Linked DNA regions of Arabidopsis thaliana. The protein of the gene in region 3 purifies or fractionates together with the protein of the main gene of each other region. This does not show direct contact. Each region holds a gene or a part of one and is shown on either strand. Other genes may lie near its edges.

Region 1 (4,322 bases), on a different chromosome or scaffold from region 3:
CTCTCCAATTCAGAGGTCTATCCAAAGGGTTACATACCCTCACAACAGGCAATCTCACAATGTCAAATCTCCCTGCCCCTGATTCTTCCCATTTAAGGACCTTACCTCCTATAACATAGAGTTCATTCCTTAGAGCTGCAAACCCATAACCGAAGGCTTCTAACTCTCTCGGATGATTAGGAAGAACAACAGAAGGAACTGAACCAACATTGTACCATTCCCCTTCATCTGTATCCCTAGTCTTGATCAAGCTTTCTCCCCAATCTACAATAGTATACACCCGATCATTTTTCATCACCTGAACAGCAAACTGCATGGCTCTAGAGAAAGGCCAGACATCCTCCACAGTGGACCAAGTCATGTCTCGTGGATTAAAAACTTCAGATGAATTTTGCTCTGCAAATCCCACCTGGTCACTTAAAACATGAAAGCAGCCTCTGTACGATAACCCCGAGCAGTCCATCTGTGGTCTAGGCATTGCTGGTAATTCCTCCCACCTGCAATACTACTATGTCATACTCCAGTTTGATAGCTTTTCAGGTGAAACATGAGAAAACTTTTAAAACTATATCTTGACCCATCATAGAAAAAAACAAAAAGAGTACATTGTGGGGTTAAATATGCCAGTTCTATCCTACACGAGAATATAAACCACATTAGTGTGGGAAAAAATACCTATCAGCGACAGGATCATAAACCTCAGCAGATGGGATTCCCCTGGAATGAGTTAAATTACGACCTCCAGCAACATAAACCTTGCCAGAGACAGAAGTACAAGCAAAGTGAGTCCGTGGTGTTCGCATACTAGCAACCATTTTCCATTGTTTCTTAAACGGATCAAACCGCATGACATCTTTAGTGACAACAGGCTTCTGATGAGGAAACGATGACACCGAAGGCGCATAACAACCCCCAATCACAAGAAGACAATTGGAAACACAAACACACGCAAAACCAGAATGATGCCAACCATCTTGAACAGCTCTAGTTCTAGGCAATGGATGCCATCGATCAGCTTCAGGATCATAAGCAACCCACTGATTCTTAGAACGTTCCGTCAACACAAACAACCAGCTCCCTGACCATCCATTTCTAGCTTTATAGCACGAGTAATCAGCACCACGAACTAAATCTCTCCAGCCTCTGGAAACACATTCGAGCACTCCATGATACCCATGAGAAAGCTTCGCTATGCATCTCAAAGCCAAATCATCAGGCAAACCTGGGATTATAGACTGCTCGATTGATTCCCTGAAAACAAGTTTCAGCCACTAACGATCAGACTTATTCAATCAATAATCAACATTCAATGTTTTAAGACAAAACATGATTTTGAAGAGAAAAGGTAAAGGATTGAGATTTAGATTCAACTTTGTGAAGGAAGAACAAGAGAGCTAACACTTACATGAACCGAATCGTACTCGAGAGATTGTAAATGTATCTTCTGATCCCCTTCTCGAACTTGCTTTAGAACACCAAAATCGCGCTTCAAAGTTTATCACTTTCCCGGAAACAAAAACACCATTAACGATAATCGAAACGGAAACTGCAATCAGAACGATATAGTTATGATGGAACTAAGCACAGTCAGAGAGAAACTCAGGATTCTGGCAAGGAAGAGAGGAGACGGAAGAAACAGGCATGAGATGGATAGATCCATTATAATGGGTCGAAAATTTAAATATTCTTTATTGATCCCTTCATTTATATGTTCTTTCTGCTTCTTAACGCATACTTTCTTAAATAACTAATTTAACCCATAACTTTTCCAAGATAACAAGTTAAAACCGCGTCGTTTTATTTCAGCTTCGTCTTTATCTCATCTTTCTTGCGACGGGCCCTGCTACCCGGTGCGTGACAGGTTGAATCATTCTCCTCCGATTCACGGTGATTCCGGCGACTACAGACTCAACATTTAATAAGCCGATCTCTTACATGGTACGAGCTCGGACAAATTGAAGAATACAAAGGTCCGAGAAATAATTTGGTAAGCAATTCGATCCTTTAAACGATGTTATTTTTGTCAATCCGAGTCATTGATGAGGGATTATATCTGTTACTGAATCTCTCTGATCTTCCCCTGATAATGGACTTCATGATCCTGTAAATTTCAGATTTTGAGCCTTGTGCCTCAAAATTGTAGTCAAAGGCCGCGTTTTTGTCTCAATTTGTAGATCTTTGTTGTTGTTTCTGTTGGATCTTACGTATATATCCTTGATCATTTTAAAATTTCAATGGAAGTGATCCAGGCTTTGATTAGCTTTTAATTATATAGGAATAATGGCGTCTTCATCGGATTCATGGATGAGAGCATACAACGAGGCTTTAAAACTCTCTGAGGAGATTAATGGAATGATATCAGAAAGAAGTTCATCGGCTGTCACAGGGCCTGATGCTCAGCGTCGTGCTTCAGCTATACGAAGGAAGATCACCATTTTCGGTAACAAATTAGATAGTCTGCAGTCTCTTCTTGCTGAAATTCATGGAAAACCTATGTAAGCCATTTACTAGTCCAATCCTAATTGCTTAAATCTGTAAATTAGACACCTTTAAGGTTAGTGTTAATCTGAATTATTACTTACTGACACAGTTCAGAGAAAGAGATGAATCGGCGAAAGGATATGGTAGGGAATCTGAGGTCAAAAGCAAACCAGATGGCGAATGCTTTGAACATGTCAAACTTTGCCAATAGAGACAGCTTGCTCGGGCCAGATATCAAGCCGGATGATTCCATGAGCAGAGTTACTGGCATGGATAACCAAGGAATTGTTGGATATCAACGACAAGTTATGAGAGGTAAAACCTCTCTTATCCTAGTAAACGTAATACAGATGTTGATTTCTGTATTTGTTTTTTCCTATTGAATGTTTTATTTTCCTGTGAGTAGAACAAGACGAAGGACTTGAGCAATTGGAGGGAACAGTCATGAGCACAAAACACATTGCTCTGGCTGTTAGTGAAGAGCTTGACTTGCAGACTAGGCTTATTGTATGTCACTAGCTTTTCATTTTTTCGCCTTTGATTTGAATTTTCGGATACTAACACATTTGGATTTTCCTTTATGCAGGATGACTTAGATTACCATGTGGATGTTACTGACTCTCGCTTAAGGGTAATATATGCTTCAACTCTTAAATATTTCAACAAACTAATTACTTTGGTGAATCCCAAGCTTTAGTTGATCCATACTTTCATTAGGAGTAACACTGATGTAATGGTGATCTGTTTTCGGTTTGCTCAACCAAGAACCACATTATGCTTAAGCTAATGGCTAATTAAAGACATTGATCTGTTATCTTATTACAGAGAGTGCAGAAGAGCCTTGCTGTCATGAACAAGAATATGAGAAGTGGTTGCTCTTGCATGTCAATGCTCTTGTCAGTGCTGGGGATCGTCGGTCTTGCTGTTGTAATATGGATGTTGGTTAAGTATATGTAATACCAACATCAGACAACTTATAAGTTCCTCTGTAGGTCCACTGGCCTCTACTCTCTATGTGAATGGTTGCAATGTATTTCCTCATTCCACATTTGTGGCTGAGCTTTTCATTTCTCTTCTGTTACCAAAACCCTTTAAGTAATATATAATGTGTGCAGTTATCACAGTTTGCTCTTTGCTGTCTTCATAAAGATTTAAGAAGTGGTAGCAAGTCAAACACAGAGACAAAAAAACAAAAATTATCTGTAGAATCTTCCACGAAGAAACTTGTCTGAGTTTGTTATAAGAAGAACATTGTGGAAATTTTGTAAAACACCAATATTCATATCATCATCACTGGAAACAAAATTCGCAAAATACGTATCTGATCCTTCATTTTATACATGTGTACTGTTTCTTAATCTCTACATTTGTAAGAGGCAAAACAAGAGATAGTGTAATGCATGTTCCTTTTTTTATTTCGCCAAGAATTGTCAACGTAGGCCTACCTTTCTACGATCATATAAGTAATGGTCTCGTATTTAGAAGATGTCTTCTTTCGAAGGAAACTGCCGTCTGGCTGCGTGGCTACAAAGTCAGCACTCAGCAAGTTGATCTCTTTCTCAATGACAATGATGTATTATTTAAAGGTCCTTGGTGAGCAATTTGATTCTCTTTTAGAGATATATATGTTGCTGAATTGCTCCGATCTTCCTTTAATACATGTGCCAATACCATTATCGAAGTTGTTGCTTCTTGTAAGCTAGTTGGATTTTTGTTGTTCTTATTGTTGCATTTATATACATCCTTGGTAAAGTTAAAAGTTGTCTGAAAGTGATCTGTATTGGATTTTTGATTATGTAGGATTAATCAAAGTCAATGGCTTCTTTGTGTGATTCATGGAT
Region 2 (4,572 bases), on a different chromosome or scaffold from region 3:
TTGAACGTGCAAGTAATATTGGCGCATTTCCACTAGCGTTTTTTTTTCTTAACATTTTGTAAGACAATTTTCATGTAATTTTCTTCTGCTAATTTTTTTTTAGTTTAAACTTTAAAGTTGAAATATTAATACATAATAACGTACGTTCAGTTCACAGACGTTCTTAAGGTTCTGCAAATAGCAGGATTACTATTAATGTTTCCCTATAATGTGTATACACATGATTTATCTGCAGTTGCGTCAAACAATCATAACTGAATTTGTATATATAAAAAGGCATGGGGGATCGATCTTCAAAACTGTGGATATGATTTCCTGAAATATAACTCTTACAAGTTTATGAAATAATCCATTTGATATAAATAAAAAAGTTCACTAAACGAACAAATAGATATAGAGACTTTAGAGCCTTTGACAAAAAGAATAAGAAGAAGAATTGGAATGCAAAGAAGAAAAAAGCAATAATGGAAACCGGTACGTAGGAGGAGGAGTGTGGCACGTGCGGTAGAAGAAGCAAAATCCTGAAAGGCCGTGGAGGAGAGCACGTGATGGTCCAACACCAAATCCACAATTCAAGGTCCCTCGTTTGACTTCACTCTCTCTTCTTGAGATTCGCCTCAAAATTTATCTTCTTCTCACTTTTTTCCCCAAACGAATTACATAAAACTATTAAAGATAAAAACGAATATGATATGAATGGTAACTTTTAATTTCCTAAATTCCATGTAAGATACACGAAACACATAAAAACATTGGATTCTCACGGTAAATAATCTCTTCGTAAAACAATTTATGAAACTTACAAGTTTCTGTTGGCCCAATATTATCTTATTGAGATGTGCCGTTGCCTTCACGAAGACGTCATGCATTAAACCCCTTATTAATGAGCGTTTAATCATATAGAGATACCAACATGTTCTGAAACTTATAATCTTATTTTAGAATCCCCATTATGGCTAATTAAGTGTACGTATAAAATTCAAAGTGATACGCAATTACCTTTAGTATACAATATATATATATGTGTTGTACACCGTTTGGTTCAGGTGAATTACTGAATCACCTGGCTATTTTATAACAAGGAGGGAAATTAAATACTACCATTTTTCGGGTATTTATTATATAAAACATTTTATGAAAATTTATATTAGCCAAACAATCTAAGAGATTTCATTTAAATTAATTACAAGTGTTCATTGTTGATGGATAAATTGCATATTGAGGATGAATACCAAAAAGGTAGGTAGATGCCAACTAGACCAATCTTGTGCACGGCGTCGTTTCATGAGTATATTAAATGGGCCTTAAAAGTATTACCCTTTTTATGACGACCCATTTAATTTAGGAAGCCCAAAGATGAATAAACCTATTATTATTGTTTATGTGTTTATACTTTTGAACCCATAATTTATTTCTGTTATGTCATCTCAACCCTAACTTTATATAATCAGTATTAAATCCAGGCATCTTCAACGAGCCGTCAACAAAGATAGGAAAACGTAGTCGTTTGATACAGCTGGTATAAAATCTGAATTCATTCTTCAAATAAATTAAAATCTTCGTTGGCGTTGTTGTTGGTTGCGTTACAGATTTTGGACTAATCATTATTTTCGTGCCTGCAAAGTCAGCACGACGATCGCGTTTCGATCTTCAAAGTAGAAGAAGACCCGCCACAATCACAAATCGCGGTGCATATAGTCTAAAGGGTAAGCTTTTCGATTCCTTTCACCATGTAAATTTAGGTCAATTCCGTCGCTTCTTTGATTTGGGGTGTTTTTCCTGGCGCGAAATCTTTCCGATTTTCCCTGATTATGAATTTATAAATAATGGGTATCGCAGATTTTGGGTCTCAGTGGCTGATTCTTTTCGACTCTAGTTTCTGCTTCCGCCGTCTCATTTTTTTTTCTACGCAACAGTAAAGTTTTTATTTTTCCACCTGAATTTTCGGATGATGGCCGAAGATTTTGTGTCTATGCTGATACCTAATTTTTCCATCTGAAATTGATTTTATTCACTGCTATTTTCATTTTGTTTTCATATCATTGTGACTCGCTACTAAAAGCTTCTAAATTTGTTGCCTTTTTGTGAAAAGCTCTTTACACGGTCTATGGTAATTGTGTTAAGATTCTTGTTCATCATGTACGAGATTTTCATTGGGTCACAAGAGTTTCGTTGTTGAAGCTACTAGTTTTTTTCATGATCAAATACTTCTTTGAGCTACTTGTGATTCTCTTTACATGATCTTTATGTAGAAGATAAGTATTGCTGTGTTTTAATTAGTTAGGTACTTGTTTTCAGGTCAATGGCCTCTTCTTCGGATCCATGGATGAGAGAGTACAATGAGGCTTTGAAACTCTCTGAGGATATTAATGGCATGATGTCTGAAAGGAATGCCTCCGGGTTAACCGGGCCTGATGCTCAACGTCGTGCCTCTGCAATTCGAAGAAAGATCACCATTTTGGGGACTCGATTAGACAGTCTGCAATCCCTTCTTGTCAAGGTTCCTGGCAAGCAGCATGTGTAAGCCATTCTGATTCTGGTTGCCTGTTCAAACTCCTCATGTTAGACAACGCTAAGTTTCATGTTGGTCTTGAACTATGTAATTATGGTTTATGTGTATGCAATTTGCTGATAAACAGTTCGGAGAAAGAGATGAATCGTCGCAAGGATATGGTTGGGAATTTGAGATCAAAAACAAATCAGGTGGCCTCTGCTTTGAATATGTCAAACTTTGCAAACAGAGACAGCTTGTTTGGAACAGATTTAAAGCCGGATGATGCGATAAATAGAGTCTCTGGCATGGACAACCAAGGAATTGTTGTATTTCAACGGCAAGTTATGAGAGGTAAGATGTGGTATGTAACACTGTTCTAGGACCATAGTAATGATCTTGGCGTCTGTATTAATTTCTCTTTGATTGTATTTTATTTCCATGAGTAGAACAAGACGAGGGACTTGAGAAGTTGGAGGAAACAGTCATGAGTACCAAACACATTGCTCTCGCTGTTAACGAGGAGCTCACCCTGCAGACAAGGCTTATTGTATGTCTCCGCTGTTGTTCATTGCTTTTCTTGTTGATTTTGATTTCTTATTCTAACGAAATGGGACTTTCTTCCATGCAGGATGACTTAGATTACGATGTGGATATCACTGACTCTCGCTTACGGGTAAGTATATGCTTCGAACAAATTAGTCTCATTAGTCACTAGCTTAAGCTGGTCCATTGATAAGCTAAAGAACAATAGGAAGGCAAGCAAGTGATTTTAACAATATACTGGTCTATTATGTCTAAGAATCTCTCGGTCGTTGCTTTTTTTTTTTATCATAAAAAGCAATAATTTTTTAGTTTAATGTGATTCACATCTCGTCTTGGATTTGATGTAGCCTGTTTGTGTTTCTTGATGATTGCAGCGTGTTCAAAAGAGCCTTGCCTTGATGAACAAGAGCATGAAAAGTGGTTGCTCATGCATGTCTATGCTCTTGTCTGTGCTTGGAATCGTTGGTCTTGCTCTTGTAATTTGGCTGCTGGTTAAGTACCTGTAATGCCAATGTGGTGGCAACTTGTGAAAGCTCATCCTTTTCTCTCAGCCTATCCTCTGTGCTTAATGGTTGTTTTCTATTCCTTCTATCGATTGATTCGTGTCTGTGAGGCAAAGAAGAATACCACTGCGTGTAAGAAACCCTCAGAAGTACATAATCTGTATTACCTTCGTATCAACCACGAATTGTAAACTAAGTTGACATTTGTCTATATATGGTATGGCTCCTACTTGGTTCAATAAAGAGAACTAGTGGCTTGGACAATGCAGAGACATAATGGTCAAGATGGCAATCATTTTTTTATAAAGTGACCATCAATTTTTTTATTGTGTGGAAAAATTGATCTCAGTCACATTCTGTAAGGTTAGCCACTTGGCCTTTTAGCTCTGTAGGCGCTGCTTATGATGGGGAGCATTGGCAATCACCTCCTTTGGGGTGATTTCATTGTTTGATTCCGGATTAGAATATGAATTAAACATCTCTAATTGTTTCAAAATCAATTTAACTAGAAATTTTTTCTTAACAAAAGTAATAGAAACTTTTTTGCTTTGTTGTATTTCACAACTCGAAATTGTTATAACCAAATAAATAGATTCATATTTTCTTAAAAAGACCTATAGGTTTGGGTCGAAGTTAAAGATTAAATAAAGTTTTCTGGTAACATTATTTCAATACTGTCAAATAAAAAGTTGTAAACAAAAGTCGCGCGTCATGATTCTCAATATATTGGTTCATTTGATGTTTATAAATTTTTAATGTTTTTGTATACGGAAAAATAACGTATTGTGACAAAAATAGCGTATACGAAATAACCAGGTTAATTGTTTATGGGCTTGTTATTTTATCATAAAAATTTAACCACAGATAAAACAGACATGGGCTCCATAAAATAGGCCCGAAAGACTTAACTTCTTTTTCTTCAAAGTGAAAATACCCATCACGCGCCCCAGTTTATTTATTTTAGCGAAAACAGCAATTTTCGTATAGTCCAGGGATTTCGGGGAGGTGGCGTCGACGCGCTCATTGTGAGAG
Region 3 (4,359 bases):
AATGAAGAAAAACGTTCAGACGTCTATTAACAGTTACCAGTTGTGTCATTAACAATGTTCAGACTGACATGAATTTGAAAACAGAGAGCACAAAAGTGTTAAACCCCTTACTCCTAAAGTTAACGAATTGGTTAAGTTCTGATTAACTTAAAAGTTATACATATAAGAAGCTGTGTCCAAAAATAAATTCACAAAGTTTTAACTAATTAGATAAATACTAATCACATTTATCAAACAAGTAATCCATAAGAAGGTAAAACCCAAAATTAGTGATTCTAAACGCCAATTTCAACATATCTAATCGCAGCTGGTGATCGAAATTCTACAAATACGAGACGAGAACGATTAATCGGATATGAAGGAGTACTCACCGACATTGCTAAAAACCGATATAAACCGGATTGAAACGGAAGATTTTCTGAATTTGAAACGAAAACAGAAGAGAAAATGAAAATCCTAGTAAGGAAAAATCTTTGGCTGTGAGGAAAATACAAAGCGGATTCAATTTAAATACAATTCTCCGGTACGTGTAACCGTCGGGATTATGTTTTTTTTTTTTTGTCTCGCCGGCGACTTCAAGGAAGAAAAAGGTCGTGCTTAGCTATTTCTTTGTCGGGAAAGATTCTAATTAAATTTTAATCATATAGTACTTACGTTTAAAACAAAACAAAAGACGTGACATAATCACATTATCAACCACTATCTGTCGTCCACGTGTCCAAAACCGTTTCTGCTTTTCACATGTAGTAAAGTTTAATAACCTCATCATTGGAAATCTTGCGAAAAAAATGCTGATAAAGTAATTACATTAACACTTTCCATTAGGGCTGGGCAAAATATTCGATCGATCCGCTTCGATTCGGTATTCGATTTGATTTGATTCGAAAAATCCGAATTTCCGTAAGATTTTGGACCAAAGCAAATAGGAAAATGTAGTATTCGTAAAAACCGAATCAAATAGCAAATATTGTTTTTTAAAAAATCAAATATCCGCTTCGATCCGTATCTTTTGATATATATTAGAATATATAGTTATATCTATATATAGATATCATAAATAGTTTGTGTATTGTTGCTACCTTATGTTTTTATGTTAAGATGTTTGTTTGATATTTTTTTTTATGTTATGTTTTGATCAATGACATCAAAAACTATCGAGTTTTAGTTTTTGGAATTAGTTTGATAACATTTTTGTTGACCGGTGATAACAACAAAGGTTATATTTGGTATTTAGAACTTATTTTGAAAGCATGTTAAATAAAAACTTTGAATATCTGATATGGTTATATAGTTTATATATTTTTTTAAAATATTTATACGTATCAAAGCGGATATCCGCAAATATCACAAAAAAATCCGGATATTCGAAATTCCGGATATCCGGAAAGTTTCGAATCAAAGCAAATCATAAAATCAAGTATTCGGTTAAAACGAATCGAATAACAAATATCACAATTTTTCCGAATATTCGCTTCGTGCCCAGACCTACTTTTCATTATTAAACTTTCACCTAAAATAGTTAAACTAAGGGCACCGAACCAAATTGAACTGTTTAAACCGTAGTGGAATCTTATATAAACTGATTTGATTGTATCTGAACTAAACCAAACCAAATAAATGTTTTATTAAAACTTTACATTTTAACTATTTACACATATTGAGAAAAAATATAATCATATTAATATATAAACTAACTAAAAATTATTGTTTATTAACTAAAACTGAATCAAATCAAAAATAAAAACAAACTGACCCAAACCAAAATCTCAATAAACCAAACCAATTGTTTAATTTGGCAAGAAAAACAGAAACGAGGAGAGGTTACTAAATATATAGAAATAAAAGGATCAAAAAGGAAACAACTTTATCTCAGCTTTTTCTTCTCAATTAAAATCAGTTTGGGATTTTTTCGAAAACGCTTTTCAATCTTCGTCTATCTGTCTCCACGATCCACGCCTTGACCTTCGTTTTTTTTTTCTCAGAGATTAGAGAAAACTCCGATAACCAATTTCTCAATCTTTTTGTAGATCCAATTTTTCCAGGAAAAAAAGAGGTTTCGCGAAGAAGATGAGTTTTCAAGATTTAGAATCAGGAAGAGGAAGATCAACGAGGAAATTCAATGGTGGTCGACAAGATTCGACACAAGCCGTTGCTTCTGGAATATTCCAGATCAATACCGGAGTCTCCACGTTTCAGCGACTCGTTAACACACTTGGTACTCCCAAAGATACACCGGAGCTCCGGGAGAAGCTGTATGTTGAAATTGAAATCTAAATTTCATTTGATAAAAAAAATTGAATTTTTGATTTCAATTTTGATTGCTTTTTTTTTTTTGTGGATTCTGAATTTAGAAATTATTATTCGGATTTTGTTGTGATAGGCACAAGACAAGGTTGCATATTGGACAGCTTGTGAAGGATACTTCAGCTAAACTTAAAGAAGCTAGTGAAACTGATCATCAAAGCGGTGTCAATGTAAAGTGGAATCTTTTTCTTCTTGTTTGGTTTTTAAGCGACTCTTTGTTGTGTGTTTGATTGTTGTGTAATTGTGTAGCCAAGTAAGAAGATTGCAGATGCTAAGCTTGCAAGGGACTTTCAAGCTGTTTTAAAAGAGTTTCAGAAAGCTCAACAAACTGCTGCTGAAAGAGAAACCACTTATACTCCTTTCGTGCCTCAATCTGCTCTTCCCTCTAGGTAACGTGACTGATTGATTATATGTGGTTTCATGTATGTTAAGCTCGAATTCGAATTAGAAGTGTGATTATCATAAGCAAAAAGCATCACTTTGTGAATTGTTTGTGTGGTTTTGATAATCATGTTCCTTATTTTTCTTGTCTGACTCCGTATATAGCTATACGGCGGGTGAGGTGGATAAGGTACCGGAACAGCGGGCACAACTTCAGGAGTCGAAAAGGTAGGTGATATCGAAAAAATATTCTTTTACACATCTCTTATATGATGCAACTTATTTTCTCCTTTGCTTGATTGTTGATGCAACTTATTTTCTCCTTTGCTTGATTGTTGTAGACAAGAACTTGTATTGTTAGACAACGAGATTGCATTCAACGAGGCTGTGATTGAAGAAAGAGAGCAAGGAATACAAGAAATCCATCAGCAAATTGGTGAGGTTAACGAGATATTCAAAGATCTTGCGGTTCTGGTTAACGATCAAGGAGTCATGATAGGTAAAGACAATCTATTAAACTTAATTAGAACATGCCCTTGAAGCTGCAGTTAGAGAACTCACTTTTTTCTTTCTTGCAGATGATATTGGTACTCACATTGACAACTCCCGTGCTGCAACTTCACAAGGAAAATCTCAGCTTGTGCAAGCCGCGAAAACACAAAAATCAAACTCCTCTCTGGTAAAACACTCAAAAAAGTTTTCAGACAAAAACAGTGACTGAATGTTTTTTGGAAACCTTAGGCTAATGTGTTGATCTTGTTTACACGCAGACATGCTTGCTCTTGGTGATATTTGGCATTGTTCTCCTGATCGTGATTATAGTACTCGCAGCTTGATTTCGAACAGCAAGAACATTTCGTTTGTGTGTGTTCATTGATCTTAAGGCATCAATGACTGGAACTACTTGGTATATATTATATGTTGAAGAGAACACTTAGAAGTTGGTTTTGTGTTTGTTTGGGTTGGTTCAGTTCGGTTTGAGGTTCTATTGGTTAATGTAATAGTGTGTGCGTGTGTGGCTTTTTTGTTGTGCAAACATTTTGTTGGAGATGACAGAAACTCTGTTTTGTTTGTGATTCTCCTATGTTCTCCTAAATCTTTGTTGAGAGGAAACAAAAACTATTTGCTCAATGAGTGTCACAAAGAAGTTTGAAACCAAAAGCAGAGTCATGACTGCTTCAAGTTTTTACAAGATTCACCCTTTGAGCTCAAAACCGATGCCACGAGTATTGAAAATGCAGAAAAAACCGCAGCGGCGAATGTCAAGGCGGAAACATACTCTGTATGACCCCTGATTCCGGCAGGGATATCCCAGAAAACAGACCTGGTTTCAGTCTTCGATCTGCCAATCGACAAAACCAAACATCTCCTCCGTTCACGTCGCTGGTTTTGTACATGGCTCGAGCACAAGAACAAGTCTGGCTCGCCAAACTCCACTCTAGAGTATCCACTGTCGTCCAGAGGCTGTGGAGATAACAGAGAAGTAAAGATCCAATCTTATTGACATCGACCAAAATAAGACTTAGTTCAAGTGATCATTTACCTGATACCGAGCATGTAAAGGAAGCTTAAAGCTTATTTCACCATTTTCATAATTTCTAGAGCTGATTTCAACATGAATCTCAACGACGGATCTGTTCGATCTAAACGAAGGCAGCTCAAGATTTGTGTCAC
Region 4 (4,239 bases), on a different chromosome or scaffold from region 3:
TGCTCTTGCAAGAGATAAACACTGAAGAATTCAATTACCACAACAGGATCTGAATTTCTTGATTTTGGAAGGACAATCCACGAGGGTATTGTAACGCAATAACTCCATCCAGTTCGAGGGTCATGAGGCCAAACAGTATCTCTACCATTCTGCAGAAATAAACATAAATATCTCAAAATCTCCAACTTGTACATATATGGAATTCAATCGAGTAGAATGATACTTTATAGTCTGGAGCTATCCAAAGCTGCATAAATAAAGATTTAGCTACCCCTGATGTTAAACAAAAGATAAACTAACAATTCAATAGAGGGCAACAACAGAATTCACCAATTGTAGGAAATGACTTCTAATGCCTTATGTGGTGAGTCTACCATTGGACTTGCTGGTAACTACACTAGCTATCCCCATAGCTTGGGACTAATAACAAAGACATCCACATTTATCTCAAGTCCCATTAGAATAAAGCAGGCAACTGAAGAATTCTAGCACGGCACTTCCAAAAGGTAACGTGGTAAAGTCCAATAAAGTTCGAATTTTTGGCAACAAAAGAACTCACCCATTTGCGCGGTGGAGGACTCCAATCCATTCCTAATGGAAGCGGCGATGTTCCGTCATGCCTGTGCTTGGGCGGACTCCGTCTCTGCATCATCTCCACCAAACTTTACCTAAGTCTCTCTCTATCTCCAGCTCTCCGGAATCCGAATTTGATATTCCGATCAGAATCAATCGGAGACACGATCGAGTACTAATATCCCGATCGAGAAACCACAAATTACGAAATCTGAGCAAAAGATGATGGAAGAGTAAGCAGAGCGTAGGGTTTATGAAGATCGTCGTGAGATCGAGGAGAGAGAGAGAGGACACAGATGGAGGCAAAAGAAGGACCAGATGGCGTCTCTCAGGGTCTTCTCTGCCTCTGGGTTGAATTCCCACAGACCACGGTGATTAACGGCGGTGTTGTGACGTTTACTTTAACGGAAAAGCCGAGAAGAAACAACACGTGATTTGACGGAGGCGCGAAGCTTACCGTGTATATATGTGTATATGTCCCACTTTTTCCCGTGAGATTCGGTTTGGGTCGTGAACCACGTCTTGGTTTAGAGTTGGGAATTGGGATTTTATATCTGTTGTACATTTTGTAAGGCTTATCTCTGGCTATGTTTGGTTTAGGCTCAGCTCATTGGATGTCATTTTCATTTTTCTGCCTTTAATTTTCCTTTTTTTTTTTTGTCTTTGGCTAAAGTTAGTATATTATTCACTCATATCTTATTCAAACTCGAAACCCAATTTTGACCCAAATCGTTTCAAACCAGAAGGAAATAGACCGCTTTTTGGTTTTGTTTGGTACGTCACTACCACACTAAAAAAAAAAAAACTGATTTAATGATGATTTGAACACATCCCTACATTTTATCCTTCATATTCGTAAAAATTTACACTTTAAAATCACATCTTCTTCCACGGATAAATTACAATTATTCGATCTTTTTGCTCAGATTTCTCTATTTGTTTGAAACTGATAGAATTTGTTTGTTTTCTTTGTATTTCTTATAAGTTTGATATCAAACTAATTTAGCGTTAACCATTAATAATCCTTATAAAACAATTCACGGTACAATATTTTCGAAACTGAAGCAAATTGTTTTCTTTTCATATTTATATTTTTTACTTATTAGAACTAAATTAGTTCCGACAAAACAAAAAGAACTAACTTAGTTTTGCCCGTGATATTTTGACAAAATTTCATTTTGATCCTTATAATAATACAGTATTTTAAAAATAAATCAACGTAGCTATCCGAAATTAAATATTTGTAATCAGCGGAGGCGAAAAGGTCTCCAGCTCCAGCTAAACTCCAAGAGGAGAGAGAGAGAAAGAGATTCAATTATATGCAGAGAGAAAAAGAAGCCAATTGGTTCTCTCTCTCTCTCTCTCTCTCTCTGATTGATTGATCCAGCGATTCGTCTGGCTGGCTCGGTTTCCGCGGGAAAACCTTCTTCTTCGTTGACCTTACACGAGTTTTGTTGATTCGGCAGGGGGATCGACGACGGAGATGGCGATTCTGTACGCCCTCGTGGCTCGTGGCACGGTGGTTCTTTCTGAGTTCACCGCCACCTCTACGAATGCGAGCACCATCGCCAAACAGATCCTCGAGAAGGTCCCTGGAGACAACGACAGCAACGTCTCCTACTCTCAGGATCGTTACGTCTTCCACGTTAAACGCACCGATGGCCTCACCGTTCTCTGTATGGCCGAAGAAACCGCCGGAAGTACGTCCTCCCCTTTCTTTTACTTCTATGGCTAATTTTGAGGAAGTTTCCAACTTTGGTGACAGTGGAATTCAAAAGTCTAATCCTTTTTTGCTCTGAACGATCGCTCTGTTATTGAATTCGAGACCTTTGGTCTTATATTGTGATGTGAATGAATTTGATTTTTTTGGACATAACATCAACACAATTATATCCGAGAAGCTGTGCATTAGAGAGATGTGAATGTCTTTCTAACTCAAAAGTCAAAACTTTTTTATGTCAGGGAGAATTCCTTTTGCCTTTTTGGAGGATATTCACCAGAGATTCGTACGGACTTATGGCAGGGCTGTTCATACAGCACTAGCTTATGCAATGAATGAGGAATTCTCTAGAGTTCTCAGTCAGCAGATTGACTATTACTCTAATGATCCTAATGCCGATAGGATTAATCGTATTAAGGGTGAAATGAATCAGGTTTGATGAGTTTGTCTTACAAGTTCAGTCGGATTGTGAAGTTGTTTAGAGACATGGTTCTGAGTCTTGGCTTCACTGTTTGACAATACATCCTGGTTTTTCTTTTTGGTTTTGGATAGGTGCGGGGTGTCATGATAGAAAACATTGACAAAGTCCTAGATAGAGGTGAACGTTTGGAGCTTCTTGTCGATAAAACCGCCAATATGCAGGGGAATACATTCCGGTTCAGAAAGCAAGCTCGTCGTTTTAGAAGCAACGTCTGGTGGAGAAACTGCAAGCTCACGTATGTTTCCTAAAACCTTAGTAAACAATTTTCAGTATTATGATTGCAAGACTGTATACTAAAACTAGTTTTTGGCCTAAGAACACATTTAACTATAGCAAAAAGTACTTTAATCACCCCAAGTTCCACATTTGTAATGTCAAGTGAGAATTTTTTAAGAATCGAACATAGTTCCTAATTCCTAACCCTTTTTGTCTCTTGCAGGGTCCTCTTAATACTACTACTACTGGTGATCATATACATTGCAGTGGCCTTTCTCTGCCACGGACCTACTCTACCATCTTGCATTTAAGTGCATCTGTCTCTTAAGGAATCCATCCCGATTCTGCGCGTTGCCACGACTTTTTATCTCCTCATCTGATTGTAAACCTTGTGTTTTCCTGAGCATTTTCATGTGGCTTAAAAAGCTTATGTTTCCAACTCACGTATATGAAAAAGTATACTTATTTATAGAGCAATGTAAAAGCTCATTGCTTTGCGAAGTGTGTGAATCTTTGTTGACATCATGTTCTATAAATTACATACATAGTGGAAAAGTGAACAGGCTTGCTTTGTCTGATATGTTCATACAACTCTTTGAATCTTCATGTTCTTTGTTTATGTGACTTCCTCTCTCGTATATCCACACCAACTTCTGAAGTCGGCAGTTGAATGATCTTGTACGTCGTTGACCCTACAAATTCTTGTCATTTTACAATTGAAGCCATTTGTTGATCATAAATCGAATGTAAATATTAGAAAAGAAAGATAGGAGAACAAGATACAACAAGTGTCATAAATTGTCGTCCGAAAATAAAATATGGGTATCATCTCTAGTTAAGGCCAGACGCACCTCATTCACCAACTTGACATCTTGTCATGCCACCTAATAATAGCTAAATAAATTATAGTAGGTGGATTTAACCTTTTATTTATATAATAGCAGCATTTCAAATATAAAATTTTGTTTTTATCAACACCATGTTTACTAACTAAAAGGATGGAATTTATATCCATATATGATCAAAATACTAAAATGTTTGGTTGAACCAAAAAAAATAAAAAGCGTCGACTTTACGGTTTAAATATCGTTACAGAAAAAGAAGAAAAGAAAAGACGGCTACATCACGCTTACTAAAAATTCTACAGTCCAATTAAAGTCATAACAAAATTAATACTATATATTTATTAAAAAAAACATGATTATTTACTTTCCTTACAAAAAAAAACAAAAGTGTAAATATTTCCTGG

Evidence for each region.
Region 1: the proteins of VAM3 (region 3) and SYP51 purify together in Arabidopsis thaliana (affinity purification with western blotting; 2 studies listed by BioGRID, with this or other methods). This does not show direct contact.
Region 2: the proteins of VAM3 (region 3) and SYP52 purify together in Arabidopsis thaliana (affinity purification with western blotting; 2 studies listed by BioGRID, with this or other methods). This does not show direct contact.
Region 4: the proteins of VAM3 (region 3) and VAMP711 purify together in Arabidopsis thaliana (affinity purification with western blotting; one study listed by BioGRID). This does not show direct contact.

The regions. Positions count from the first base shown.
Region 1 is NC_003070.9:5,554,299-5,558,620, reverse strand, and holds SYP51 (syntaxin of plants 51), read left to right. Parts: upstream 1-1,776; 5' UTR 1,777-1,987; intron 1,988-2,006; exon of another isoform or gene 2,007-2,170; intron 2,171-2,260; exon of another isoform or gene 2,261-2,275; 5' UTR 2,276-2,280; coding exon 2,281-2,495; intron 2,496-2,590; coding exon 2,591-2,796; intron 2,797-2,887; coding exon 2,888-2,988; intron 2,989-3,067; coding exon 3,068-3,112; intron 3,113-3,306; coding exon 3,307-3,438; 3' UTR 3,439-3,778; downstream 3,779-4,322. Other genes in the region: AT1G16250 (Galactose oxidase/kelch repeat superfamily protein), read right to left, coding at 1-497, 676-1,251, 1,406-1,407; AT1G16230 (Target SNARE coiled-coil domain protein), read left to right, coding at 4,297-4,322. UniProt on the Arabidopsis thaliana protein: Vesicle trafficking protein that functions in the secretory pathway.
Region 2 is NC_003070.9:29,944,762-29,949,333, forward strand, and holds SYP52 (syntaxin of plants 52), read left to right. Parts: upstream 1-1,712; 5' UTR 1,713-1,826; coding exon 1,827-1,915; intron 1,916-2,298; coding exon 2,299-2,520; intron 2,521-2,639; coding exon 2,640-2,845; intron 2,846-2,940; coding exon 2,941-3,041; intron 3,042-3,122; coding exon 3,123-3,167; intron 3,168-3,411; coding exon 3,412-3,543; 3' UTR 3,544-4,046; downstream 4,047-4,572. UniProt on the Arabidopsis thaliana protein: Vesicle trafficking protein that functions in the secretory pathway.
Region 3 is NC_003076.8:19,011,504-19,015,862, reverse strand, and holds VAM3 (Syntaxin/t-SNARE family protein), read left to right. Parts: upstream 1-1,752; 5' UTR 1,753-2,067; coding exon 2,068-2,252; intron 2,253-2,380; coding exon 2,381-2,474; intron 2,475-2,553; coding exon 2,554-2,693; intron 2,694-2,850; coding exon 2,851-2,913; intron 2,914-3,026; coding exon 3,027-3,184; intron 3,185-3,263; coding exon 3,264-3,364; intron 3,365-3,455; coding exon 3,456-3,521; 3' UTR 3,522-3,842; downstream 3,843-4,359. Other genes in the region: AT5G46870 (RNA-binding (RRM/RBD/RNP motifs) family protein), read right to left, coding at 372-377; AT5G46850 (phosphatidylinositol-glycan biosynthesis class X-like protein), read right to left, coding at 3,853-4,149, 4,229-4,359. UniProt on the Arabidopsis thaliana protein: May provide the t-SNARE function in the vacuolar assembly. Promotes the formation of vacuolar membrane 'bulbs'. Required for inflorescence stem gravitropism.
Region 4 is NC_003075.7:15,525,469-15,529,707, reverse strand, and holds VAMP711 (vesicle-associated membrane protein 711), read left to right. Parts: upstream 1-1,781; 5' UTR 1,782-2,056; coding exon 2,057-2,273; intron 2,274-2,535; coding exon 2,536-2,726; intron 2,727-2,845; coding exon 2,846-3,009; intron 3,010-3,213; coding exon 3,214-3,301; 3' UTR 3,302-3,729; downstream 3,730-4,239. Other genes in the region: AT4G32160 (Phox (PX) domain-containing protein), read right to left, coding at 39-149, 560-652. UniProt on the Arabidopsis thaliana protein: Involved in the targeting and/or fusion of transport vesicles to their target membrane.